Linked DNA regions of Rattus norvegicus. The protein of the gene in region 1 purifies or fractionates together with the protein of each later gene. This does not show direct contact. Links are inferred from orthologs where the notes say so. Each region holds a gene or a part of one and is shown on either strand. Other genes may lie near its edges.

What was found.
Region 2: the proteins of Ssrp1 (region 1) and Srpk1 fractionate together in Homo sapiens (co-fractionation; 3 studies listed by BioGRID and IntAct, with this or other methods). This does not show direct contact. The link is inferred for Rattus norvegicus from reciprocal best matches to the Homo sapiens genes SSRP1 and SRPK1.
Region 3: the proteins of Ssrp1 (region 1) and Top2a fractionate together in Homo sapiens (co-fractionation; 3 studies listed by BioGRID and IntAct, with this or other methods). This does not show direct contact. The link is inferred for Rattus norvegicus from reciprocal best matches to the Homo sapiens genes SSRP1 and TOP2A.
Region 4: the proteins of Ssrp1 (region 1) and Paf1 fractionate together in Homo sapiens (co-fractionation; 3 studies listed by BioGRID and IntAct, with this or other methods). This does not show direct contact. The link is inferred for Rattus norvegicus from reciprocal best matches to the Homo sapiens genes SSRP1 and PAF1.
Region 5: the proteins of Ssrp1 (region 1) and Zc3h18 purify together in Homo sapiens (affinity purification with mass spectrometry; 3 studies listed by BioGRID and IntAct, with this or other methods). This does not show direct contact. The link is inferred for Rattus norvegicus from reciprocal best matches to the Homo sapiens genes SSRP1 and ZC3H18.
Region 6: the proteins of Ssrp1 (region 1) and Mcm7 purify together in Homo sapiens (affinity purification with mass spectrometry; 4 studies listed by BioGRID and IntAct, with this or other methods). This does not show direct contact. The link is inferred for Rattus norvegicus from reciprocal best matches to the Homo sapiens genes SSRP1 and MCM7.
Region 7: the proteins of Ssrp1 (region 1) and Chd1 purify together in Homo sapiens (affinity purification with mass spectrometry; 3 studies listed by BioGRID and IntAct, with this or other methods). This does not show direct contact. The link is inferred for Rattus norvegicus from reciprocal best matches to the Homo sapiens genes SSRP1 and CHD1.

What each region holds. Positions count from the first base shown.
Region 1 is NC_086021.1:90,530,173-90,534,282, reverse strand, and holds the start of Ssrp1 (FACT complex subunit SSRP1), read right to left. Parts: upstream 2,801-4,110; 5' UTR 2,633-2,800; coding exon of another isoform or gene 2,508-2,632; coding exon 2,454-2,507; intron 2,033-2,453; coding exon 1,847-2,032; intron 879-1,846; coding exon 773-878; intron 520-772; coding exon 329-519; intron 226-328; coding exon 1-225. Other genes in the region: P2rx3 (P2X purinoceptor 3), read left to right, coding at 3,453-3,464. UniProt on the Homo sapiens protein: Component of the FACT complex, a general chromatin factor that acts to reorganize nucleosomes. The FACT complex is involved in multiple processes that require DNA as a template such as mRNA elongation, DNA replication and DNA repair.
Region 2 is NC_086038.1:6,652,836-6,656,335, forward strand, and holds part of Srpk1 (SRSF protein kinase 1), read right to left. Parts: intron 1,093-3,500; coding exon 985-1,092; intron 1-984. UniProt on the Homo sapiens protein: Serine/arginine-rich protein-specific kinase which specifically phosphorylates its substrates at serine residues located in regions rich in arginine/serine dipeptides, known as RS domains and is involved in the phosphorylation of SR splicing factors and the regulation of splicing.
Region 3 is NC_086028.1:84,449,094-84,452,593, forward strand, and holds part of Top2a (DNA topoisomerase 2-alpha), read right to left. Parts: intron 3,149-3,500; coding exon 2,953-3,148; intron 1,560-2,952; coding exon 1,468-1,559; intron 1,044-1,467; coding exon 882-1,043; intron 757-881; coding exon 673-756; intron 1-672. UniProt on the Homo sapiens protein: Key decatenating enzyme that alters DNA topology by binding to two double-stranded DNA molecules, generating a double-stranded break in one of the strands, passing the intact strand through the broken strand, and religating the broken strand.
Region 4 is NC_086019.1:92,814,197-92,817,275, reverse strand, and holds the end of Paf1 (RNA polymerase II-associated factor 1 homolog), read right to left. Parts: intron 2,922-3,079; coding exon 2,805-2,921; intron 2,704-2,804; coding exon 2,575-2,703; intron 1,426-2,574; coding exon 1,320-1,425; intron 1,226-1,319; coding exon 1,135-1,225; coding exon of another isoform or gene 1,060-1,134; coding exon 635-1,059; 3' UTR 501-634; downstream 1-500. UniProt on the Homo sapiens protein: Component of the PAF1 complex (PAF1C) which has multiple functions during transcription by RNA polymerase II and is implicated in regulation of development and maintenance of embryonic stem cell pluripotency.
Region 5 is NC_086037.1:67,376,538-67,380,037, reverse strand, and holds part of Zc3h18 (zinc finger CCCH domain-containing protein 18), read right to left. Parts: intron 1,964-3,500; coding exon 1,772-1,963; intron 1,079-1,771; coding exon 953-1,078; intron 1-952.
Region 6 is NC_086030.1:22,160,379-22,164,419, forward strand, and holds the start of Mcm7 (DNA replication licensing factor MCM7), read right to left. Parts: upstream 2,801-4,041; 5' UTR 2,742-2,800; coding exon 2,711-2,741; intron 2,264-2,710; exon of another isoform or gene 2,193-2,263; intron 2,031-2,192; exon of another isoform or gene 1,807-2,030; intron 1,402-1,806; coding exon 1,322-1,401; intron 724-1,321; coding exon 434-723; intron 362-433; coding exon 181-361; intron 1-180. Other genes in the region: Ap4m1 (AP-4 complex subunit mu-1), read left to right, coding at 3,174-3,231, 3,332-3,456, 3,916-4,022. UniProt on the Homo sapiens protein: Acts as a component of the MCM2-7 complex (MCM complex) which is the replicative helicase essential for 'once per cell cycle' DNA replication initiation and elongation in eukaryotic cells.
Region 7 is NC_086019.1:65,368,216-65,371,715, reverse strand, and holds part of Chd1 (chromodomain-helicase-DNA-binding protein 1), read right to left. Parts: intron 3,186-3,500; coding exon 2,997-3,185; intron 755-2,996; coding exon 592-754; intron 1-591. UniProt on the Homo sapiens protein: ATP-dependent chromatin-remodeling factor which functions as substrate recognition component of the transcription regulatory histone acetylation (HAT) complex SAGA. Regulates polymerase II transcription.

The DNA.
Region 1 (4,110 bases):
GAACATCTGTCTCTGATCCTTGTGGGGCAGTAGGAAGAGACGGAGAACTGTAGTATAGGGGATCTTGTAGTCAAAGGTTTTGCCATGCAGGTGTAGAAAGGTAGGGTAGATCCGGATATCGTAACGACCACGAGGAGTCAAACACTGCAGCTCCCGGAAGATGCAGATGGCATCTCCAGTGGCCTGGATCACATCTGCCTTTGACAGGACATTCTGGGCAAAGGCCTATGAACACACATGGGTATTCAAACAGCCAGCCTCTGCTCCCAGGCGAGCCGGCCAAAGTATACTCGGCAATGTCCAGCAGCCCAATATACAGAAGCCTTACCTCCACAGGGTCCACTCCATCTTCCTGCGTGGGAGGGACATAGAAGCGCACCTCCATGAGAGATACTTCAGCATCATCGTTCTGGTGGAATTCCAGGGTCACCTCATTCTTGCCTGTTGTACACTGGGACACATTGCTTAGGGGTATCTCAAAGACTGGTTGATCACCAATGTCAAAAGAAAGCAGCTGCCCTGTGAGGAAAGAGCTTGTCAAATCGCAAGCTCCTCCCCAAGAGTCGACAGAAGCAGTCCCACCAAGACAGAGGACTGGAGGAACTACCAAAGCCAGGCACAGTGTCTGGTGGACCGTGCATGCTGGACAAATCCATGCTAAACACACAGACTGAAATTAAGAAATTAGAGCCAAGGAAAGAGTAAAGAAAGGTACTGTCTGAGGCCCTTCTTCACCCCACCTTCTCCCCAAAGCTCAATCTCCCTCACTCACCACCAAATTTCACTGTCCCCCAGTTCCAGCCCTTCACACAGAGATCCTTCTCCATCAGCTCAAGGCGATAGTGGGTTTTGAAAAAGTCAGAGAGCTTCTCAAATTCCTGTAAATCAAAAGGAGAAAGTGCGGTCCCAGTTAAACCTCTGGGCCTTAACACAAATGTCCTGAGATTCTGTAGCTCAGTTCACCAATGTGTCTTCCTCAGAAACTACAGCTAACTAAGTATACCGACTCTGAAAACATTTTAAAACACTTTTACTTTGTTACTAGAGGCAGTTTCTAGAACCCAGATGCTCTCAGCCCTACTCTCAGGGATGTCCTTCTTTCAAGCCTTTTCTCTTAACCTTTATGCTTAAAACCCTTTAAGTGCTAGAGACCTGATGGCCTAGCAGTTAAGGGAACTTTTTCTGATATAAGACCTTGGAGTCATTCTCAGCACCCCACAGTGGTTCACAACTGTCTGTAACTCTAGTTCCAGTTGATCCAATGCCTTCCTCTGAGCTCTGCGGACACCAGGCATGCACATGGTGCACAGGTTTGCATGCTAGCAAAGCCTCATGCACATAAAATAAATAATTTTTAATGAATGAAAAATTTTTTTAACAACAGCAACAACAAAAACCTTTTGTTTCTGGGGTCTCTGGCTAAGTGTAGTAAAGAAAGTTAAATTCCCAGATACGTGTATGACCTTACTGAGTTTCTAAACTTTGTATAGGTGATCTTTTGATAAAAGTGGATATTAAAACCAAGTAACTCAAAAGCAGCTCAAAATGGAAAAGCAAAATCCTAGAGCACCAAGCTAGAATTTCTGAACCAGGACAGAAGGAGCAAGTGGAAACCACCACCTAAATTAAGGTGGTAAAAAACCTTCTGGAGTCTAGGCACAAGACACGGGTACTGAATATAGAAAACACTGGTTTTCTTGTTCAATAGTCTCCAACCGCCCTGCTCTGAGGAACCCAAATGAACAATGACATGATTATCAGAGGAACAGAAACTGTCTCTAGAAGATTAAAATAAACAAGACAAGGCAGTCACAAAGAGAGGGGGTCACAGAACAAGACTGCTCACCGATTCACGGAAGCCATCATACTTGTAGACATGCCCATTCTTTGTGAGCAGTTTAAGTCCATGGCCTAATGCTACCCGACGCCAGATGCCTTCGGTCAACTCCCCGGCCTGGATGTTGTCCACTTTGCCCGTCTTGCTGTTCTTAAAGATGATACCCTGACGGCTCAATCGAAGCCTCCCATCATTCTGCCCAAAATACAGACCCAAAATCAGAACAGGATACACACGAAGCGGGTCCTTTCAACCCCTTATCCATACAATAATACAGGCTGGCCATTTTATCAATAAAAAGGCAACAGGTTGTGGTGAAATCAAGTCAAAAGACACAAGAGACATTAAGATTTTCAGTCTTGAAAGCTTGGCTCTAGTGTCAGAAACCCTGTAAGGGCTCCAGTTCCCGGTTTTTTAACACAGGGATTTAGGATAGAACTACACATGCAATCTCTTCAAACTCAGTATCATGTAACTCTTGAGACTTTGCGGATGTTTTCGCTTGGCGGACACTGATACACTGTTTCTAAAAGAGTAGTCAGAGTTAAGCTTTTTGTTAATAAAACAAGAACTCTTTCCCATCTCTGCCTTTATTAAAAGCCCAAGTCATTCTCACCATGGACCCTTTCACCTCCTGGAAGATGTCGTTGAACTCCAATGTCTCTGCCATGTTCACCTGCCCGTGGTGTTCTGAGCACACAGCCCTAAGCTGCACCAGAGAAAAACGAACCCTTATCTGGATGCTGGGTCCCAATTCCTGGTTAGGTGTGTAGAGATGTTCAGCAGGGTGTGAATCTGAATTCGGGAAGGAGACTGATAAGCAAGAAACGACACCTTACTCCGATCACCCATGAGTAGCTGTGCCTGGAATATCTCAAGTTCTCTACTGCCTGGGAATCTTACTGACCGGCTCTGCAGCGCTCCTGAGGCCAAGGCCCAGGACCCTAGGTGCAGAGCCAGGCCTATAGTGGCACTTACATCTCAACCCGACACCCTCTCGGTACGTTCCACCGACAGGCACCGCAACAATCGGCGGAACCTGGGACCGGCTCAGAGAGCGCACCTCAACTCCGCTCAGAGGGTAGTGTCCTGATCGCAGCGATCCCACCACCCCGAGGCCCCCGTGAATCTACGTTTCTCCCCCTTCTTTTAAAATGGATTCGCCCACTGCCCGCGAATTTGAACGCGGATCGATCCATCCCAATCGTCCCGCGGGGGAGCAGGGCCCATGCACACCCGGAGCCCGGGAATCGCGACCACCCACCTCTTCGAACTGCAGCCTCGCGACGACACAGTGAGGGCGGTGGGCGCAGGGGGACGCAGGGGAGGGGATAGGGATACGGGGGAGGGGGTGCCGGGGAACCTTTTCCCGCGTGCGCGGTTCCGCGTCCCGCCACCGGAAGTCGCGCACAAACCATAGAGAGGAAGACCTGGCTAGAAAGGCACCATCCGGGCCGACCAACGGGACTGTCGCCTAGAGCGTCGGTGCCCCTGGTCGTCTAAAGCGAGGGTCTTGCTACGGGATCCCACGAGGCTGATTTCTTGATTAGAAAACGGGATCGCTTCTTAGAAAGTTACAGGCTGCTCTTCAAAGACTAGATTCCGAGGGGAAATTATGCGGTTTCAGGTTTGTATGTTTGTTGGAATCATGCAGGTTCCTCCCTCCTGTGAATAATCTGGGAAGGAGTCTGTTGAACCAAAAAATAAATAAATAAATAAGTAAATAAGTAAATAAAAAATAAAAATACAGAGCTGTGGCCAGAAATGTCGCCTCCGCTAGCTGCAAAGGGAATGCGGGTGTCGGTGATTGTGCTTGCTTTCCAGCTGTACCCTGGCAAGCAGATGAGATCCTTTCTGAAATGAGTTCACCTTCCACCCCCAACACCATCCCATCCATATCCCTAATTTGTGGGTTCTCAGGAAGAGCCCAGCAGATGGCTGCATTAAGTTCAAGTGGTGGTGTCAGATTTACCTTTGAGCTAGAACTTACTTGAAATCACATCAGCCTGCGTTGGCAGAAGCCTGGATGGCCTCACATAGCACCAGAGTGCATCTTGCAAAATCTGAAGCCAGGTCTGAAAGAGATGCTTGAGTTTATCTTGCCTTCCTCATTTTACAGATGAGAAAAATGAAACCACAGAAGATTTACCCGGGGTGTCAGTACATTGGCATCAAAGCTGGAACCTAGAACTCTTTTAACAGTTTATCATAATTTAGAGTGATTGCTAGCATATGTCCTACAAAAAGACAGGATATTTAAACTCACGGTCTCC
Region 2 (3,500 bases), on another chromosome or scaffold:
TGTGAGACAAGCAGCCCCACCCTGTGCTGGAATCGGCTTATCTTTTTATAGGACATTTTATGTATTTACATTCCAAATGTTATCCCCTTCCCCCCCTTCCCTGTTGGAATCTTAAATCGTTGGAAACGTAATCTACAATCCAGACCACGCTGAGATTTTTCTGACTACGTAGCCCAGGATGGTCTTGGCAATCCCCCTGCCTCACCAGACATAACGAGTCGTCTCCTCTCCTCTGTAAGCCTTAATTCTCTTTGCTTACTGTTGAATACTTTTGATCTTGTGGGAGTAATGAAACAGCAATTAAAGTGTAAGTGTGCAAACCTGACACACAGGGGACCTTCCCTGGGGTGACCAAGTTCACGAAGTGTGGCACTTCTCTATATCTGGCCTTTGATAACAAAACACCAGCTGGTGCTTGTAGCCAGCCGTGCAGGAGCTGACTGAGGCCGCCATGCAAAGCAAAGGCACTGGTGCAGGACTACGTCCTCAACCTGTCTGCCCTGGGAAGTCAGGGTCCTTATGAGCAGGGAAAGCCTCGGCTCAAGCTCAAAGCGCAAGCTCACAGGACAGCAATGCCACCGGCTGGTGTTGACAAGCACAGACTGTATAATAAATAAAGGGGAAAAACCAAAATCAAGAAACAGCCCAGCCCCGCCCCGCCCAGCCCCGCCCCGCCCAGAGCAGTGAGCTGTGCACCGTAGGTGCCTGCCTGGGCTTTACCCTCGACTGACAGACAGGCGAGTGGCTCACTTGCAGAGGACATCAGCCTTCCCAGTGGCATGCGTCTGTCCCAAGTTTGCAAACAGATCAAGACTAAGAGTTCAAGGACAATAGTCACCCACAACACAGGAACATCAATGTCTGAGAACAGCCACTGTCGGTTCCCCACACCGCCCTGCTTTCTGACTGTCACCAGTGAGCAGCTGGGGGGTCACTCCGCTGTCACACACTGCACTAGCAAACAGGGAAGGCGGCAGGGCTTACCATGCATGCTGTGCTCCAGATGTCAGCAGGGGTGTTGTAGCCAGATCCTATCAGGACCTCCAAAGACCGGTACTGCCGGGTCTGGATGTCTTCGGTGAAATGCTTGTGCTGAGCAAGTCAATGAGTGGAGAACTTAGGTCACTTATGTTAGAGAGGAGAAGCTATGGCTGGCTCAATAACTGAAAACAAGCTCTCTTAAAAATTTCCACGTAGGTCGCTTCACAAGTATCATTTAACAATCTGTCTTACTGCTATTCCAAAGAACTTAAAAATTGAGCCTTAATTTGGTTTAGACATATGGATAACAATAGCTTTATCAAGAAAATAAAAAATGAGAGCTGGTGTGATGGCACACACATGCCTTTAATCCTAGCACTTGGGAGAGGCAAAGGCAGGCAGATCTGAGTTCTACATGGCTAACCTGGTCTACACAGTGGGTTCCAGGTCAGTTGGGGTCACAATGAGACTGTTCCAAAAAGCAAAACAAAACAAACCCAAGTCAAGCAAGCAAACAAACAAACAAATAAATCTAAGTAAATAGAAAAAGTCAGTGAGAGGAAGGGGAGAGGGAGATGAGGGAGATGATGGGGACCAACAGTGATGACGACAAATGCCTTCTGCAATTGTTCTCTGACCTACATGCATGTTGTGGCACACTGGTGCACACATGCAAGCTCTTTTTTTTTTGTTTTAAAGATTTATTTATTTATTATATATAAGTACACTGTAGCTGTCTTCAGATACACCGGAAGAGGGCATGGGATCTCTTTACAGATGGCTGTGAGCCACCATGTGGTTGCTGGGAATTGAACTCAGGACCTCTGGAAGAGCAGTCAGTGCTCTAACCGCTGAGCCATCTCTCCAGCCCCCAACGTGCAAGCTCTTATACAATGGATGCTCAGATGTGTAGAGCACACAGCCTACAGTCCTGCTAAGACAGGCAGAAAGGCAGCATGGCTCAGGCTGAGACTTGGCACGGAACTGGGCGAGCAGGGCAGAAGGATTCCAGGGGAGGACCATCAACAGAGCAGGCAAACACTGCAGTTGGAGACAAACACAGCTATGGAGAGGAGGAGCTGGTCCTTGGGGACGGTCACTGAAAGCACACACACAACTTGGAAACACACAGGCCAGGACTGGTGATGCCCAGTAGGCACAGACGCCTGCCAATCTGAGTTTCATCCCTGGAATCCACACCCCAGAGAGGACCAACTCTGGCAGGTTGTCCTTTGACTGCCCATGCACAGACAGCATCCAGTCATCTCTCTAATCCCCAGGTCTCCTGCCACTGAGTTCTAGTCTAGTTTCACTGTAATGAATATACCGTCTGCAGGTCTGGATGGCCCAACCTGCATAGGCCTGTCCGCTGGTCAGAGTGACACACTAAAGCTTCCCATTCCTGCTGTGTTGCTGCCCTGACAGGCTGCTCCCATGGCCAGGATGGAGGGACTTTCCTCTCTGCTGACCAGTCAGATGGCATAGCTGGGACACCCAGGCTGATGTCTGTGAGTGCCTTGGCCTGGAGCACCTTTCCGCACGCCTCACCTACGTCACACACATCTTTAATGCTGAGCAACCTTGAGGAACTAAGTGACAGTCGATGCTGCTCACCCAACCTGTTCATCTGTCTTCTTTATTCTCTAAGAAATTCATGTCTACTGTTGTAGTACAGGCCTTTAACCGCAGCATTGCAGAGGCCGAAGCAGGCAGATCGCTAGGAGTTCTACACTGGGACTTCCTGGCCAGCAAGGCTATTTAGTGAGACTCTGTCTCAAAAAAGAATCCACACTTTAAAGATTATCTAAGGACAGCAGAGATGTGCAGTGGTCTAGAGGGCTTGCTACTCTTGTTGGGTCTGGTTCTCAGCACCCACACGGTGGCTCACAACCCAACCGTCTGTAGCTCTAGTTCCAGGGGATCTGAGGTCCTCCTCAGGCACTAGGTGCAGACACACACATAGAATCATATGCGCAGTGTATCAGCTAGTGCATGCACGTGCGCCTGGGAGACGCTGATACCTGGGGATGGAGCTACAGGCAGTTGTGATTTGTCCAGTGTGGGGGCTGGGAATCAAATTCTGGTTCTCTGTAAGTGATAATTGTTCTTCACTGTTAAACCATCTCTGATCTGACCTTGAACTGCAGCATTGAGAGCATTAACCTTCAGAGTAATTCTTGAAAGGTGTGTGCTTTGTTATGTAAGGTAAGGTCCGTGATGGTGGGTGGAGCCCGGTCCTCCCTTTACCTAGGACTAGGTGCAGTCCATCCTTTGCAGCTGCTCCTCACTCACTCTACAGTAAAGGAGCCCGCCCTCCGAGGGTCTGAAGAGCTGGCCTAAGGCTCTACACGTCAGTTCTGGTGCCTTCCGTTACAGCACAACACAGCAAGGACCTTCTGCTTCAACTATCAGCAATGCTTTCTTTCCTGCCTCTGGAATGAAATCCTTCTTCTCCCAGTCCATGGGTGGATGTGGTCTTTCACTGTGCCCCAGATATCTCTTGCCGACTGACTGTCCTG
Region 3 (3,500 bases), on another chromosome or scaffold:
GCTTGCTAGGCAAGTGCTCTACCACTGAGCTAAATCCCCAACCCAGGTCGGGTGCTCTTAACCACTGAGCCATCTCTCCAGCCCAGCCAGGGTTCTTTTATGTTCACTCACCATATGCTATGCCATTATTTTTTGTGCCATGTTATTATTTTTTGAAGTGCAAAGCATAGAGGGCAAAGGTTTATAAGTGTATGGAAAGTGCTCTATAATTCTATTACATCCTAGTCCTTGGTTTTTGACACAGTCTTACTGTGTTATGGTTTAGTCTGGACTTGAACTCACTTGGTAGCCCAGGCTCCGCAGACTTGTGATGTCCCTGCCTTAGTCTGAGGGCTGTCTACATGGCTACCACAGTCAGCCTCTTCATTATTTTGTCATGTAGTCTCTTTTCCTATATTTTTTCTTTTATCCAATAGAACTTTCTTGATAAAAAGACAGGTTGCTCGTGCTGGAAGGATGGCTCAGTGGTTAGGAGCCCTTACTGCTGCAAAGACTGAGTTCTGTCCTCAGCACACACCCTGGGTGACTCACAACTGAAGCTCTGGGAGACTGGCACCTTGGCTTCTGTGGGCACCTGCACCTACTCCCCCTCCACCTCCTCATCCATAAGGAAAATAAGAAAGGGAATGTTGCTAGGCTGTAAATAGTAATACAGGCTTTATAAATGCAAACCTCCAGTTCTTCCACAAAAGCAGCCAGGTCTTCCTTCCACAAATCCGATGGAGTCTTTTTCTTTAACGTGTTGAGCTCTTGTTCCTTCATAAAATCACCAAAATATGGGGTTAGTAAATATGTACAAGGACCATTCGTTTTTAAACAGAACACCATTTTCCCATGAGAACGAAATTAAACACTGACCACCCCTCCTACCAGCAGCTTACCTTCTCGTCCCTTTGCTTGCACAGCTCGTCCTTCTTCTCCTTGGTTAGATACCACAGGGGCATATCAAGAAGGTAGTTGAAGGTCGGTCCAGACTCCGCTGCAGGGCTGCTGCTTTCACTCTCGCTCTCTTCATTCTCTTCATTTTCCTCTTCTTCTGGGACCTGAAGGGTGAATTGCACGCGGACTATGAAATACAGACACACAGCTTCCTTTACTCTGTACTGTGACCTCTAGAAATGCTAGAAAGTAAATTTTACTTTTTTTATTTTTAAGATTTATATGTTTATTGTATATGAGTACACTGTCACTGTCCTCAGACACACCAGAAGAGGGCATCAGATCCCATTACAGATGGTTGAGAGCCACCATGTGGTTGTTGGGAATTGAACTCAGGACCTCTGGAAGAGCAGTCAGTGCTCTAACCACTGAGCCACCTCTCCAGCCCCAAATTTTACATTTTTTAACGAAGTATTTTTTCTATTTTCTTTCTGTGTGTGATGCTCTGCCTGTGTGAGTGTCACAGCAGGATCGTAAGCAGGACAAGCACATGTGGAGCTGCAGGGCTGACAGAGAGGGAGGAAATACCTTCTGCTGAGCTTCTTTCCAGGCTTTCACAGGGTCGGAGTCATAGCCTCTCTGAATCAGAACTTTAATTAATTCTTTCTTAGGTTTATTTTCTATTTAAAAAGAGAGAAAGCTTTGAGTAAGATTTGGAAAAACAAGTTATTTTTACGTTGTTAAGTCAAAAGATTAAAACTGGAAAATTAGAGCCAGGTGGTGGCAGCCCTCGAATCTAATCCCAGCACCCAGGAGGCAGAGGCAGGTGATCTCTGAGTTTGAGGCCAGCCTTGTCTACAGAGTGAGTTCCAGGACAGCCAGGGCTACACAGGGAAACCCTGCCATGAAAAACAAACCAACAATTCCCCTACCCCAACCTTCCTCCCTGCAGAACTATGATTTGCCTACATTTTTCTGCAGAACAGACAAGTTTCTGTAAGCCAGGACAAAGGAATTACCATGGGACAGTTCCAGTTAGACCATAGAGGAGACAGTAATCTACATAATCTTAAAATAGAAGGAAAACTTCCACTTCTGAAGAGCCTGGAACTCAATCCTGTTTTCTGGCTTTTATTTCAACACTTCATCAGGTTTTAGGGCAGTTTGCACAGAGCTTGAATCTCTTAGTTACAGAAGCACGGGGCACGTCTGTTCCCTTTCTCCAGCGGTTCTCTCAGTGTCTGTTGCAGACCATCATGCTTTAAAGTCAGTCAAAATCACTGGCAATGTACCTATTGTGCATGTGTGTCTGGTGCGCATGCAGGCCATAAGAGGGCAGCAGCTCCCTTGGACTGGAGTTATGGATGATAGCGAAACAACACGTAGGTGCTAGGAACTGAACTTGGGCTGTTTATAAATAAGAGCTGTAACCACTGAGCCATCTCTCCAACCCCTAATCTTCCTCTTATATTCAGCTTCAGTCAAGACTCTTCCTACTCATTTAAACCCTGTTTAATTGCTTATGAAATTTCCAGTAAAGCAAAAGATAAAACATCACTAAGATTTGCCATTTTCCAGTCTTCCGTGCTTATAAGGCATTTATAACCTTCCTTCATTTTAAGAGCAAATCAGTGTCTCTTCTTGTGATCAATTTAGCTATACAAGATTTCTTTTCTCAGACAGGGGTCATGTGCTCGCTGGCCTTGATTCTCCCCCCCCACCTCCCCCACCCTCCCACGCCTGAGTGCTGGGATCACGGCATGCACTAACACATGAAGCTGATGCAGAGACTGGGGTTGGACCTAGGATCTGTGGATGTCAGGAAAGCATTCTACCACTTTGAGAGCTACACCCCAGCCATACACAAGGTCTTTTAGTTCTCTAGATTCTGTGTAAACATTAACTGAGTATAGATTTCTTCAATGTTCAATCTAGGGGGATGAAGCTAATGCAGAATATAGGCTTAGCAAGTACAAGACCCTATATTTGAGCCCCAGTACCACTAAAGCTTTTCAAATAATAAACGATCCAGGAAGACCGGTCCCCAACATTTAGGTATAGATATTTACATACCAATGACTATTTTGCCATCTATTTTCTCTAATATAAAGCGAGCTTGATTATTCAGTTTAGAAGATTCTGCACCAAGCATTCCTAGAAGCCATTCTTTTCTTAATCCATAATATTTAAGCCTGAGCTCAAAGAAGTCTCTTAGAATATCCAACACAGTGTCATATTTCTTTAAACAACCAACATGGTCAAAAAGTACCTGGAAGAGAAAAGCACATTTAAGCTATGATCAATAAATTGGCTAACCCCCATAAAAGTTGCCTGATACACTCTTTAAAATTGTGATGTATAATTTTTAATTTACATGGATGTTTGTCTACATGTATATGTGCAGCTTATGCTTGTAGCACTATCCCATGAAGGCCAGAAGAGGACCTTGAATCACTTATGACTGAGTCAGACAGTCGTGAACTGTTGTGTGAGTGCCGAAAACAGAACACAGGTCCAATGTACAAGTACTAAGTGCTCTTATGAGTACACTGTCACTGTCTTCAGACACCAGAAGAGGGCATCAGATCTTACAGAATCTCTGGAAGAAGAGTCAGTGCTCT
Region 4 (3,079 bases), on another chromosome or scaffold:
TAGTCTTGTCTTGTTCACTTCCCATCAGGGTTACTGACTCTGCCTGGCACTGGAAGGTGATGAGGGATATCCTCCCCAAGAGGGAGGTGAGAGCTTCCCACCCACCTGACAGCAGAGTGCAGGACGCAGGCGGCCCTACTCTGACAGGCAGGACCCTGACCCTCCCACCCTCCATCCCCCTCTGTGGTTTCACCCTACCCTGCCCACTTCTGTCCCCAGCCCCACTGGCAGAATCAGCTTTGAGTAACTGTACATTTTTCTCGCTGTTGGAGAAGACTTATTTGTTGGAGTTTCAATTGTTAATGGTCTGGGCTTATTTTGGAAAACAAAAAAACAAAAACAAAAAACAAAAAAGACTCTAATTTCTCATTTATGATGCACTTCCTGGGAAATCCAATGGGGACTTGATTTTGTGCTTCAAGTGGAGAACCTTGAGCACTGGGGTGGGGGTGGGGGTGCGAAGATGACATGAAGGGGAACAGAAGCTCTGGGAGATGAAGTCCAGAGAAGTTAGATTTATTAACAGCAAAGATTGAAGGGTAGGGACAAAGGGCTCACAAAACAGACAACTAGAAAAGTGCTTCCCTGCCCTAAGAATGGTGTCTGTGCTGACCTCATTAGAAGGTCTTGAGGCTCAGTCACTGTCACTGTCAGCCTCACTGGAATCAGAAGCTGCAGCTTCACTGCCATCTTCCTGAGCTGAGTGTTCACTACCACTGGGGAAGGGGCTGGCACTCCGGCTACGACTCCTGCTCTGGCTGCGGCTCCGCTGGCCACCACCATCACTGCCACTGTCCGAGTCATTATCACTGCCCCTGTGGGCCTGCCCTCTGTCTTCATCATCAGAGTCAGCATCATCTTCTGAATCAGCATCACTACCGAAAATCTCCTCTTTGTCCCGGGCAGCACGTGCTTCGTCCTCGCTGCTCTCATCCTCACCGCTGCCACTCTTGTCACTTGCCTCATCCCTGTCACCCTCCTCTCGATCACTCTCACTGCCAGAGCGCTCATCCTCGCTGCCTTCCTTTTCGCTGCTGCTGCCCTTCTCATGTTCCTCATCTGTGAGGAAGTAGGCACTGGTGAGATTCCATTGCCCACCCTCCCAGGGCTCCCAGGATGTGACCAGTCCTTTACCTGAGCCTCCAGCTTCTTTCTCTTCAGCCTCCATCTCCTCCTCCTCCTCTTCCTCTGGTTCGTGGTTTTCCAACTGGGCCTTGCGTGCCTCCTGGAGTCAGCAAATTGGGAAGAAGATGGAAGACTTCTAACCCTGTCCTCACTCACTACACTCCCTTTGGGTATTCTGGGACAGTAGAACTTACCTGGGCTTCTAATTCCTTCTCATTCATGTCACGGTGTTTGACCACAAGCAAGGCATTGGTACCCGACTGAACCCCAGCCTTGGCCCGGCGCTTACTGAGACGGACCCTGCAGTGGACAATTGCAGAAGGGGAGTTAGGCTCCACTGGGACCAGTCTAACTTGACACCTAGTTCCCTATCAATAATCTGACCCACAGCATACCAGAAAACAAAGTATACATACAGTGAACGTGAAAGATGGTATTACGGGTTTGATTTACCCAACTTTTAAGTTTTTTGGATTTTTCTTGTTTCAAGATTTTAAGTGAATGGGTGTTTTGCATGTTGTATGTATAGTACCCCAAGAAGCCACAAGAGGGCATCAGATTCTTTGGGCAAAACTGTCTAAGTGGGAACTGGGATACGAACTGGGGTCTTCTAGAAGAGTAGCCAGGGTTGGGGATTTAGCTCAGTGGTAGAGCGCTTGGCCCTGGGTTCGGTCCCCAGCTCCGAAAAACAGAAAAGAAAAAAAGAAAAACAAACATCCTAGAAGAGTAGCCAGTAGTTATTTGGGTTTCTGGCTTTTAAATAGAAAAGCATTGGATTGCAGCTGAATTGTAGTACTCACTAACGGTGTTGTCACTGTCTGTTTTCACATCTCCAGCCATATTGAACAGAAACTCAAACCACAGGCCCTAGGACAAGTTAGCTTTCAGCCCTCAAAAGAAAGGTTCTGAGGTAACACTCTTGAAGTTTTTGTCAACTATTTAAAACCTGAAGGCCTGGAGGAGATGGTTCAGTTGGTAAAGTGCCATGGGGGAACAGGAAAGAGTAACTTCACCCAAGTTATCCTCTAACCTCCTCATGCATGCACACAAAATAAGAGCAACAAAGGAAAGCTGATTCAATCTCTGGCTCCAGTATGTACACACATGAACAGAAAAATGACTAGGTTTACATCCTACATTGTGTGAAAATTTTCTTTGTGGTTTATAGTACTAGGAACAGAGAGCCAAGTCCAGCCTACATTTTTTTTTTTTTTTTTTTTTTGTTCTTTTTTCCGGAGCTGGGGACCGAACCCAGGGCCTTGCGCTTCCTAGGTAAGCGCTCTACCACTGAGCTAAATCCCCAGCCCCCCAGCCTACATTAATAAGCAGGGTCCTGCTGCTCTCTCAGATACATAAAACAAATATTTAGGTACAAATGACTTCAGAGTAGTTCATTCATGGTCTCAAAAAACAAAAACAAACAAAAAAACCCACAACAGTGCTGAGTACCTGGTCTCTAGCTCATTGTAGTAGACACCATCACCCTCTCTGAAGATGAAGAAGTAGTTTTCCTCGTAGCCCTTACTGGCCTTGTTCTTCACATTCCAGTTATATTCTCGAGCAATCTTGTAGTCATACCTGGGAAGAAGGTACACAGTCAGCCCATTGGTTATAGAGGAGTAAAGGAAACATACTTCTGAATTCTAAAGCCTCACTAACCCTAACCCTAACCCACTTACACATCATCTGGTGCATAGTCCATCTCTTCCTCTTGGTCCCGCTTTCGTTTTTTTAGTGTCTCTTCCACAGGCAGAAAATAAGCCACAAACTGGTTCCCTTCCTCATCCATCATGCCCCTGGTTTGGGGGAAAAGAGAGTAAAGGTCAAAAGCAAAGTAACAAAGCTGGGTGTGGTGACACATGCCTGTACATTCAACATTCCAGAGATTGAGGCAAGAGGAATGCAAGGAGCCTAGAGGTCAGCCTGGGCAACGGAACCATAACCTATGTCAAAA
Region 5 (3,500 bases), on another chromosome or scaffold:
TGCTTCCAGCCCTCAGGAGGCAGAGGCAGGTGGGAGTTAGAGGCCAGCCTAATCTAATACATACATAGCAAATTCCAGGTCAGCTAGGGCTATAGAGTGAGACCCTTGTCCCCAAAGAGAGATTAAATCTCAATTTCCTTAAAGAAATAAAAACAAGGGCTGGAGAGATGGCTCAGTGGTTAAGAACACCGACTGCTCTTCCAGAGGTCCTGGGTTCAAATCCCAGCAACCACATGGTGGCTCACAACCATCTGTAATGGGATCTGATGCCCTCTTCTGGTGTGTCTGAAGACAGTGACAGTGTACTTACATAAATATAATAAATAAAATAAAATAAAATAAATAAAAGCAAGACCATATGCCAGGAAGGGGTAACAGTGGAAGGGACCAGATTACACTAAGGAAATAGAGAACATTTTAATCCCACAAAAATGCCTAGTGATATGTCCCAAAGCAGTGAGCTGCATGGCCTTATGTGTACAGTTAATGACCAGGATAAACACTTCCACTTTACCGAACACCATGCCGAAGGTTTGCCTCTTCTCAAGAGCTCATGGTGACGGCAGTGCAGGGAGGGCACACAATGTAGCATCAACTCAGTTCAGGGATGGACCGCTGAGCACGGCCTGACTGAGGTAAAGGGCAGCTTCCACTGGCAGAGATCCTAAGCTGTCAAGCTTTTGTGGGGACAGGTCAGGGTGAACGGAGTGTCTTTATGTGCTGGGAGAGCTTTTGCCTAAAGCTCTAGAAGTATCTACTTCAATGGGGAAAACTCAGAAGACCCTGCCTGACTCTCCTAGGGCTTTCTGGGAAGATGGACACTGCATATTCTACCTGCCACTCACTCAACAGAGACACCTTAGGTGCAGGTCCTTGGTCCAGCACCTGCAGTCCAAATTGCTCTTCAGCGTGCAGTTTACTAAAACCATTCTGGAAGCAGGCTGGGACTCACCTGGACCGGCTGCCTGAGAAGGAACTGCGTCTGGAAGAGCGGCTGGAGTAGGAGCTGTAGGAGGAGGACCGGGACCGGGACCGGGACGAGCCAGAGCCAGAGTAGGATGAAGACCGTGACGATGACCTGTGACCGACGGACAGAGCAGAGGCAGTGAGAATATTACTGCCTACTTCACTACCGCAGCGCTGGGATGCGTGAGCCGCTGTTCTTTTAGTGCCGTGAGACAGCATAGCTCCACAGACACCGCAGTGCCATCACCCTCAGTGCAATGCTGTGGAGACCAGGACTGGGCACCCAGGAGGAGCAGGTAACTCAGAGGCTAGTTTGAGTTGCTAGAGAAGGCCAGAGTGTGAGTTTTCAAGCTGACCTGGTGTTCCCATGGCTGTGTTCCTGGATCTGTCTGGGAGGTTCTTCCCAGACTCCTGTGGAACTCCCTCCCCTCAGTGTCTACAGCTGTCCCCCGACCCAACACGCACACACACTGAGTTCAGAGTCACTAAGGGAAGTTCTCCAAGAGCTAGGTGACTGGTCAGCAGAGTGTGTAGTTCCTCGTCAGCAACCCAGAGTCTTTCCCACAGGATCTGAGAGGCTTTCCCCGTCTTGAGTGACTGTATGACTCTGGCAGACAGCCAGTGTCTATATCATGTTAGGTCACCCGTCCTACTTACTAAGTTCTGGAGCACTGAAAGTCTTGGCCCAATACTTGGTATCAGTCCTACCTAATCCTAGCCTGTCCTTGGGTAGTGACCACACACATGCACATGAACTGGCAGCCAGTGAATGTCACCAAGACACAGTCTTTGGTGCCCTCTGTACCTGGAGGAATTGGAAGCAGAAGCTGATGAGGCGGATGTCTTGCGACGCCTTCGTGCCCGGCTTGGGGAGACTGACACACCAAGTTTCTTCTTGGGAGACTTGGATCGGCGCCACGGGTCCTTCCACTCATCGGCTCGCTTCACCTGTGGCCCCACAGAGGCGGTCTCCTTCTTTGGTGGTTCAGCTTGACGGCTAGAATCACAGAGGGGCTCTCAGTGCTCAGGCCGCTACCCTCCCCCAGCAAGGCTGCTTTGAGAAGAGACTGGAAAGCCAGGGCGGTCAGTGACAGCTTATGTAAGAGATGCTGAAGAAAGTCAGAGAGAGGAGACATGGCACACCTTCTACCCTACAGCGGATTCTCTCCAGAAACCAGCAGGATTCCCATTTACTCTTACGTGTGGTAAGAAGTACTTTCTTGGTGGTGGCGGCACATGTCTTTAATTCCAGCACTTGGGAGGCAAAGGCAGGTGAGATCTTTGAGTTTGAGGCCAGCCTGGCTTATAGGGAGAGTTCCAGGACAGCAAGGACTACACAGAGAAACTATGCCTCAAAAAAACCAAAAAACACCAAACCAGAGCCGACCAACACCCCTCCCCCAAGAGTAAATATTTTTAGAGGAGTCATTATTTAATTCTATCTTTCTGACTGTACTGTCAAACAGGAATAGAGTTCACCTCATTCAAACATGCTTATTTCTAGTGCTGGCACACAGTAGGTACACAGTATTCATGAAATTAAAGCAACAAGAATCGTGTTTTTAAACACCTGTTAACAAGCCCATGCCTTAAGCCTTGTCTTTACATTTAAAGAGTCTGGTTCAACTGCAGCCCAGGAACTTGATTAAAGCAGAGAGAGAATGAGGATCCCAGGCTCTTCCCCCACAGCACTGGCCTCAAGTGCTCGGGAGGCTAGAGAAGGAGGCATTGGGGAAGGCTGCACTACCATCATGGACACAAAAACACTGCCTATTTATACTTTCAGAACTCCTTTTGGTCACCGGCCAGTGGCAGGCACCAGGACTTTTACCTGCTGAGGAGTGCAGGGGAGAGCAACATCCAGTGCTAAGGCTTAACCACAACACATGTGCCCGTTACCTCAGTCCTAACCCCAGAAGCTCGTGCCCAGGTGCAGCCAGGTGCTGCCGATAAAGAAAGGCAGGGAGGAAGGGAGAACCTGACAACCTAGCGGCTCTAGGTCATGGCTTTTCCTCCATGTTCTCATTCTAAATCCAAGGCTGGCTGGGTGGGTAGAGAGACGACTAAGCAGCTAAGAGCACTGGCTGCTCTTCCACAGGAAGTTCTAGTTCTAGCATTGTGGCCCACATAGCATCTTTGATACCCTTTTCTGGCTGCCACTGCCACTGTACACAGATGGTGCACAGACATATATACAGGCAAAATACCATACACATACAATAAAATAGGATTAGAAAACAGAACAAATAAACAAAAAACCTAAGAGGAACTGACACCAGGATCACTAGCCTCTTACTGGTCAACTGGCTAGCTGCAGCCGTTCCACGAGGAATACCCTGGTAGCGGAGAGTTCCCTCTTCTTTAGATGCAGTCAATGCAGTATTCAAATCCACTTCACAGGAAGAGCCCCTCACTACCTCTACAAACAGAAACCAGAGACCACTGAGACCATGCACCTCACTCAGCAGGTGGAGAACAGTGTTGCGGACGGCCTCAATCTTCTCATCCCTGTAGCATGAGCATCTGAGGGCTGG
Region 6 (4,041 bases), on another chromosome or scaffold:
TATAAGAGCCTCTTGAAATATTCCAAGTCAAAACAACCAGAGATCAAATCGCTAACAAGAATTAAATGGATACCAAAATGTTTGTAATAGCCTGGGAGAAAATGATAGATTACAATCAGTGGGACAATTTCAAGGACAGAGAACAGAGGCCTATTTTTCTTTTCCCTATTGTATACATACCGGCTGGTAGGTCTCTGCCCCACATTGATCGCAAGTGTATGTGGCCACCACCATCCTGGGCTTGACTTCAGACACACGAGTGACAATCCCACGCACAGTTAACAATTTCCCTACAGAATCAGCCCGTACTTCCCGGATCACTCGAGGCTTGCTGCTACTTGGGCCTTGGAAATACAACTCACTAAGAGAAAGAAACATTTGTCAACAAGGCCCTGGAGAGCAAGTCCCTGCCCCTTCCCACAGAGGTACTTACAATCTACGCATGAGCTCAGAAGGATACTGGTTTTGAGGGTTCCGGACTGCCCCAGGGTCTCTGCTCCGCTGCTCCATCATCAATCGGTGTTCAATGTAAACATCCAGGACATCCTTATTCACCACCTCCTTCTCCTTGTACTCAGGCAGAAGCTCCTGTACTACGTCAGCAAACAGCCTCGAGTAGCGCTTGGCATTCTCGCAAATTGAGTCGACCAACTCAGGGTCATCTTCAGCTACATCATCTAGGTCCACGTACAATGCCACTTGTTCCCGATGAGCCAGATGAACCTGAGGTAAGGAAGAGACAGTAACACTTTAGAGTCAAGTTCACCTCACCCACAAAAGCGCTTCTAAGTCACTGGCCTACCTCCCATGGGGAAAAACAGAATAGTGTCCAGCAGAGTGACAGGTGTTCCCAATCCCAGCACTTAGGATTTAGAAGACAACAGAATGAGGAGCTCAAAGCCAACCTTAGCTATGTAACTACATAGGGTGTTCTTGATGCTGGTCTGTGCTACACACAGACTATCCCTAAAAACCAAGAGCTAGGCATGGATGAGAATGCTCAGCAGGTTAGACACTTGCCATCTAGCCAGATGACCTGAGCTTGCTCTTCAAAACACATGTGGTGGGAGACTCCCACAAATTGTCCTGTTGACCTCCACACATGCTATGGCATGCCCATGTGAGCACAAGCATACAGGAATAAATACAAGTAAAACAGCTAAGAAAATCCAAAAGTAAACATAGAAGAACTCAAAACTTTGTATAAAAACAATCAAAACCAAGTCATTCACTGATAGCCATTCTTGCTATCACAAGGTAGGGCACCTTATACAAGTTCTTACACACCACTCCACTCCCCATAACCCACCCTGAGACTTACCAACTGGGTCCCATACTTGAACTGCTTCTTTCCAAGCTCATCATCATAATAAAACTCTTGCAGGAACTTCTTCACTTTTTCTACAAATATGAAATAAAATATCTTTGTGGACAGTGAGGTGTAAAGCCCACGCCAAGTCTGACAACTGGAGTTCAATCTCTGGGACCCACCCACAGGTTGGAAGAGTTCTGCGGGTGTCTAGCACCCAACTGTAAGCTGTGATGTGCCCGTGCAAACGCGCACGTGCTCTCACAAACAATAACGTAGCAAAAAAACTTAAAAACAATCACTCTCCCTTTTGGATTCTTTATTTCAAACTCTTAACGGAAAACTAAGAAACCCGCTTGGCGGGACTTATGAACTAGTTAGTTAAATGAACATTCAAAACAAATCTACCAAGTTCTCAAAGTAGCAGTGCTCCCTTTCACAAGTCTGTTTTTACCTAGGGAAGAATATAGGTCCCTGGGCAGTTACAATAATCTTACCTAACCACCCTCAAGAAATTCCAGTGTCTGCCTTAGTTAGGAACCTCAGTTTCTTCAATTCTCTCAGCTTGCTCACAGTCGACCTAAGACCCTCGGTTCTCCCTCTACCAGTACAGTACAGCTCTTTCTTTTCCGGCTCCCGCCAGAACGTCTGCCACTAGGCCTCCTTCGGCACCCCATGCCCGGCTCCCGCCACTGCTTCCGCTCTTAGTAAACAAAGAAGCACATGGGCCTGGATTCCAGCCGCCTCACAACCCAGGATTCCTCCGCCTGAAACCGGTGGCCGTGCGGGGATTGGCCAGAACTCCAAAGGGCCACTCGGATTCACCATACTGCCAACGCTCACCGCCCGGCGCTCAGCCTCCCAATCCCAGGCACGCCCCTACCTAGAGCAGTTATCTCCGATGCCACCGCGCGGAAGGACACTGTTTACACACGACAGCCCTCCGATCAGGTAGCGCCATTTCCGCCCGCCTCTACTTCCGCTTGGAGGGCGGCCGAAAACTACCAATCGCGGAGCGGAGCGGTCCAGCAAGCCCCGCCTCTGGGCTCCGGCGCGCCTCGAGTGCACGCGGGAATTTGCTAGTGCCCCAAGGCGCAGAGGCTGGTCTAGTAACCCAGTCCCTCAAACCCCGTACTGAAGGCTCCACGTCATCTGGTCTTCCCCGAGCACGCCCCTCCTCTTTGTGGCCTTCACTGGGTTCTCTCCCTAACACAACCACATCATCTTTTCCAAGCAGAATTGCTTCCTCCATTCTTAATGCCCATTGCTTATCCCAGGTGCAGTTAGCTTGTCCCCAGAGTCACAGATCTCGGCTCCCCCCAAGACCCAAGCTCCCCTCAACAGGTGTAGGTAGAGAAGTTTCCCTCCGAGGACGCCGTTCCCAGCCCTATAGAGCATCACCTTTCTCAATCGCATAGTCCTTAAGCGCCATCGCTGCCGGGGACCGTGCGGCAAGACTTAAATGGTTCTGAAGTCTCACTCCGGGGAAGCAGAAAACGAACGCGCAGCGGTACGTAGCTCTCCAACCGAAATTGGCGCGAAACGTCGTCACCCATGTGACCCATACGGCTAAATACGGGCCAATCAGAGAGGGGGTTCCCAACCGCTGCCGGCCCCTAACTTTAACCAATCACTGGATGAATCTAGATTGAATGACAGAGAGCTAGGGGGCGGGCCGGTGGAAGATTGCCTGATTCTGCTGGGTTGGGCACCCGATTTCCCGCGGTTCGAAATTAATGCTCGCGAGTGTGTGTGTGGGAGGAGTTTCTTAAAGCGCCAGCCTCAGTGCGGCCTTTTGTTCCGTGTCCGCAAGGCGGGGTGGGTTCAACTTTCACCGTCTTCTTGTCTATCCTTCAGAACGGCCATGATTTCCCAGTTCTTCATTCTGTCTTCCAAGGGGGATCCGCTCATCTATAAAGACTGTATCCTTTGGACCGGGAGACGGGATAGGGGAGGTGGGTAGAAATCGAAACCAGGCCAGTCTGTGTCGCCTGCTCCTTAACTATCTTTCCATCTGGCTAGTCCGAGGGGATAGTGGTGGTCGTGATGTGGCCGAGCTCTTCTACCGGAAGCTGACGGGACTGCCGGGAGGCGAGTCCCCGGTTGTCATGGTAACTACTGTGGCAGGCGAGCAGGGGCTTAGAACTGTGGAGGTGGGTGGGTGCCTCATCTCTCCCTGTCAAGGGCGGCTTGGTAGGAAGAAGCTTTTTTTTTTTTTTTTTTTTGGATGTAATGAGCAAAGGCGAGGTTTATTACGGAGATCTATTATGGGGATCTCCGGGCCGACATGTATCCCGCGCAGGAGACAGAGGTGTCGACCAGGAAGAAGCTTTTAAGGAGGAAGGATTCGTTTCTCCAAGTAAGATAGATGAGTACTGACAAGACGCCAGATGCAGAGCCTTGCATCCCCATCTCTAGACTATCAATAACTCAGAGAGGTAGGTGCTACCTTTACACGTTAGGTGGCCAGGTCTTAGGTCTCAGGGATCGCCCAGCGTCACACTTCTACCATCACGATTGGAGACCCCAGGGTGCTATCTTGCAGGCTACATTACTACAATTCTGGTCTTTTGTTAATAATGCCTCTGTCCTCAACTCTGCCTTAGTATCACGATGATCGTCATTTTATTCACATCAGACACAGTGGTCTCTATTTGGTGGCCACAACTTCAGAAAATGTCTCTCCTTTCAGCCTCCTGGAGCTACTTTCCAGGTGAGTGGGGCTGGAACAG
Region 7 (3,500 bases), on another chromosome or scaffold:
CTACATAAACTAAACCCGCCCCAACATGCATAACTAGACTATTATTTTTGCTGTATCATTCTACTTGCCAGCTCTTACACTATTTCTCCGAGACTTAGCCAAAAGCAAACAGATATTAAAAAACAAAAAAGCAACTAAACAAACAATTCTTTAAAGAGCAAGCAAACATATTCTTTTTTAATTCGGGAATCCTCACCCCTCACTGAACTACTATGACTGAATTCCAAGTGTCTTCACGTCTGAGCTGCCTCTCAACGGTAAGAGAGGGGTAGCAGCTGTGGAGGCAAGGCCTCCCTCAGGTCACAGTCATATCTACTGATCTACAGTCAGATTCAGTCATATCATAATCTATAACACACGAATAGATTTTGTCTGATAAACCACTACAGACCACTGGCTTGAAAGATTATGTTTATAAATTATAATTTTAAGAGCTTTCATAAAAACAAATAATAACCAGACCTTATTTAAATGAAACATTAGCCAAAGAGAACTTCCAATGAATATATTACTGTATTGTCTTTAAGCTAAAACTGAAATACATATTCTTAGAATTCTGCTTTACCAAAAGAAATACTTAAAAATTCTTACTTGTAAGGCCTCCTGTTTATTATAGAATTCGTTATTATCTGGTGGTTTAATGAGGTAGCAATGGTTACAACATTTCTTTAGCTCCATCATAATGTTCAAAAAGCCTGAGGTACTGCCCTTGGAACCTTTGCTGAGGGCTTTGTAATTCCTAGTTAAAATCCACCTTCAAAAACAAAAGTCACATGAACAACATTCAGCAGATCATCACCAAGATAAATTCTGAAAGCTTAAAAACAACACTAACACCAAATCGAAACTTCACCCTTCCCAAGTTCCTGGTTACATACAGGATGGACTGAACCTCACATCGAAGGCTTAAAAAGTACACATAACTTGTCTGATCCATCGACTACATACAGAGGTTTTATGTAGCATAATAAACACATTAATCCTTTTCTCGAGTTTTGGGAAGCAGTGGTCCACAGTATCAATCTTCTTAGAAATTTCATTCCAGCAGACAAGTAATTAGAACCACATCTTTTCCAGTCTCATGAATACCTGGTTTGGTCATACTGTCCTCTCTAAATTGCAGTTATGTGATACCTATGCAACTTGAACATCACTTCAAACCACACACAATTCTTCTCTCAAAACCTACTTTAATTACCTATTGTTAACTTCCTTTCTCGTAAATTTACCTTATGAAGAATATTAAAAATCCCACACTATCTAGGTATTCTTTTATTATCTCTCTTTATTATTGGTTACTTGGGATTTGCCTGACTTAACTTAGAAGCAAACAGGAGTCCATACACAATTCTTGGTTCTGAAGGAGGTATTTCAGGCTGAGACCTTACTTTACTGTACTCAGAATGTCTCCTGTGTTTCTGGAGGAGATACTCTAAAAATTTTTACAAATTTATGGCAATCTTTCAAGGCTAATTTGGGCATCAGTCAGGACTGTGTTCACTACCCCACCCCTAACCCTGCAGGAGGGAACATACACCATTTAAAGCCACATTTTATTACCATAGTAACCCCAAAATAGTACCCAGAAGTTATACGCGTTATATATGCTTTCTCCTTTTAACTGTTTCAAAATCTTTTCCATTTTTAAATTTTCCTAATTTTCACCACACTACAAAAAAAAAAAATACTTAATATTACTCTTTTCCATTATAAAACATTCTCTCCATAAACAAAAACCCAAATCTAAACAAGCAGTTGATCTACAGGAAATAAAAAGGATATTTTTAAAGATTCCAGAAAAATATACCAGAAAAATCTACAATGAAAAGTTTATTCAGAAACCTGTTTCCTTATCAAAGGAATTTTAAGGGGCACGGATACCTACAAGTGAGGCACTTCATTATCTCAGAAAGATCATATTCATTTCTGACGTAAGCAAAATTTAAAGTTTAAGGCAACACAGAAAAGGCTTTACTGAACATTGACATAAAAAATGTTAAACTTTATAAATGGGTATCTTTAAAAATTATTAGAGACACATGAAGAAATATGAATGTACCTCTGACATGCCTGAGAAGAAGAAACAGAAGAAACTAGTGCACTAACAAACTCAAACTTAAGTCACGGGCACTTGGGAGGTTTGTGAGGCAGGGCAGACCCTACAGTCCAGCTCTGCCTAGAACTCGATGTACTCTGGATGGATGGATTTGAATCTCAAACTCTCTGACCACCTCCAAGTACTGAGGTCACAGTCTGCACCCTAAGACCCACAATAAACCCACATGCATGGCAGTTAAGAGATTTTCACCATAAAATTTAACTTTTTTTAGGATGCTAAATATAATCACGATGTATTTCCTTGTACAAGTAACTATCAATACATGTTAGGACATGTTTTGGTTTTATCCTTTGAAAAGTGACTATATAAATTTGACAAGGAACTTACACAAAATATAACTTGTTCATGTTCTTCAAAAAAGGGAGGAGGCAGCTAACACTCTGTCTAAGGCTTCTTTAGCTCTGTCAACTACCACAACTGCTGGATATATCAGGCTGGTTGAAAGGTAAATATGAGCAGGGGGATTCGCGATGATGTGTTACAAACATGGCTTAGGAGCAGGAAAGATGGCTCACTGGTTAAGAGCCCTTGCTGCCCTCACAGAAGGTCTCAGTTCAGCCCCCAGTGCTCGTACAGAAGTTCACAAGCATCTGTAACGTGGGTTCTGGTGGATCTCAGGCTCTACTCTGGCCTGCGTACCAGGTACCAAGCATGTATGGTACACACACATACATGCAAGCAAAGGCCGATACATATCAAAGTAAGTCCTTCAAGCCACGGTTTAATCTTGGACCCAACCCTAAAGCTCCCTGCTAATTAGCCATAGAAGAAACGTCCTTTAAAACTGAGTGAGTTGCTACTCTAAGATCCATGTGGGGATGCAGAGCACCACAAGGGCAAGGACAGCTAACTCTGAACTGTGTTCTATTTGGCTTACTTGTAATATTGTTTCTGTAAAGCACTCATTTCCATTCTTAAAATCTGCTCCACCTTGGCAGGAAGAGATTTTTCCACATCTTTCTTAACTCTGCGTAACAGAAATGGCTCAAGCTCCTTGTGGAGGCTTGCATAACCATATTCTCTGCCTTTACCATGTTCTTCCTCAAAATCTTCCCATGAAGAAAACCTTGAAACAAATTTAAGGAACAGTTATTGAAAATAAGCAAAATTGTATATAAAAGCTAAACTTAGTTACCTCTAAGTCTCCAACCCAACAAGTTCCTCCTATACATACACACACACACACACACACACACACACACACACACACACGTGAGTATACGTTATCTATATGCATAGAGAGTGGGCATATATGATCCAACTTGAGCTACAGAGTATATTTAAGGCCAGCCTGCACAACTTAGGGAGACCCTACCTCAAAACAAAAAGTAAAAACGAGGGCAGGAGATGTAGCTCGTGGCAGACCCTACAACGTGTGATA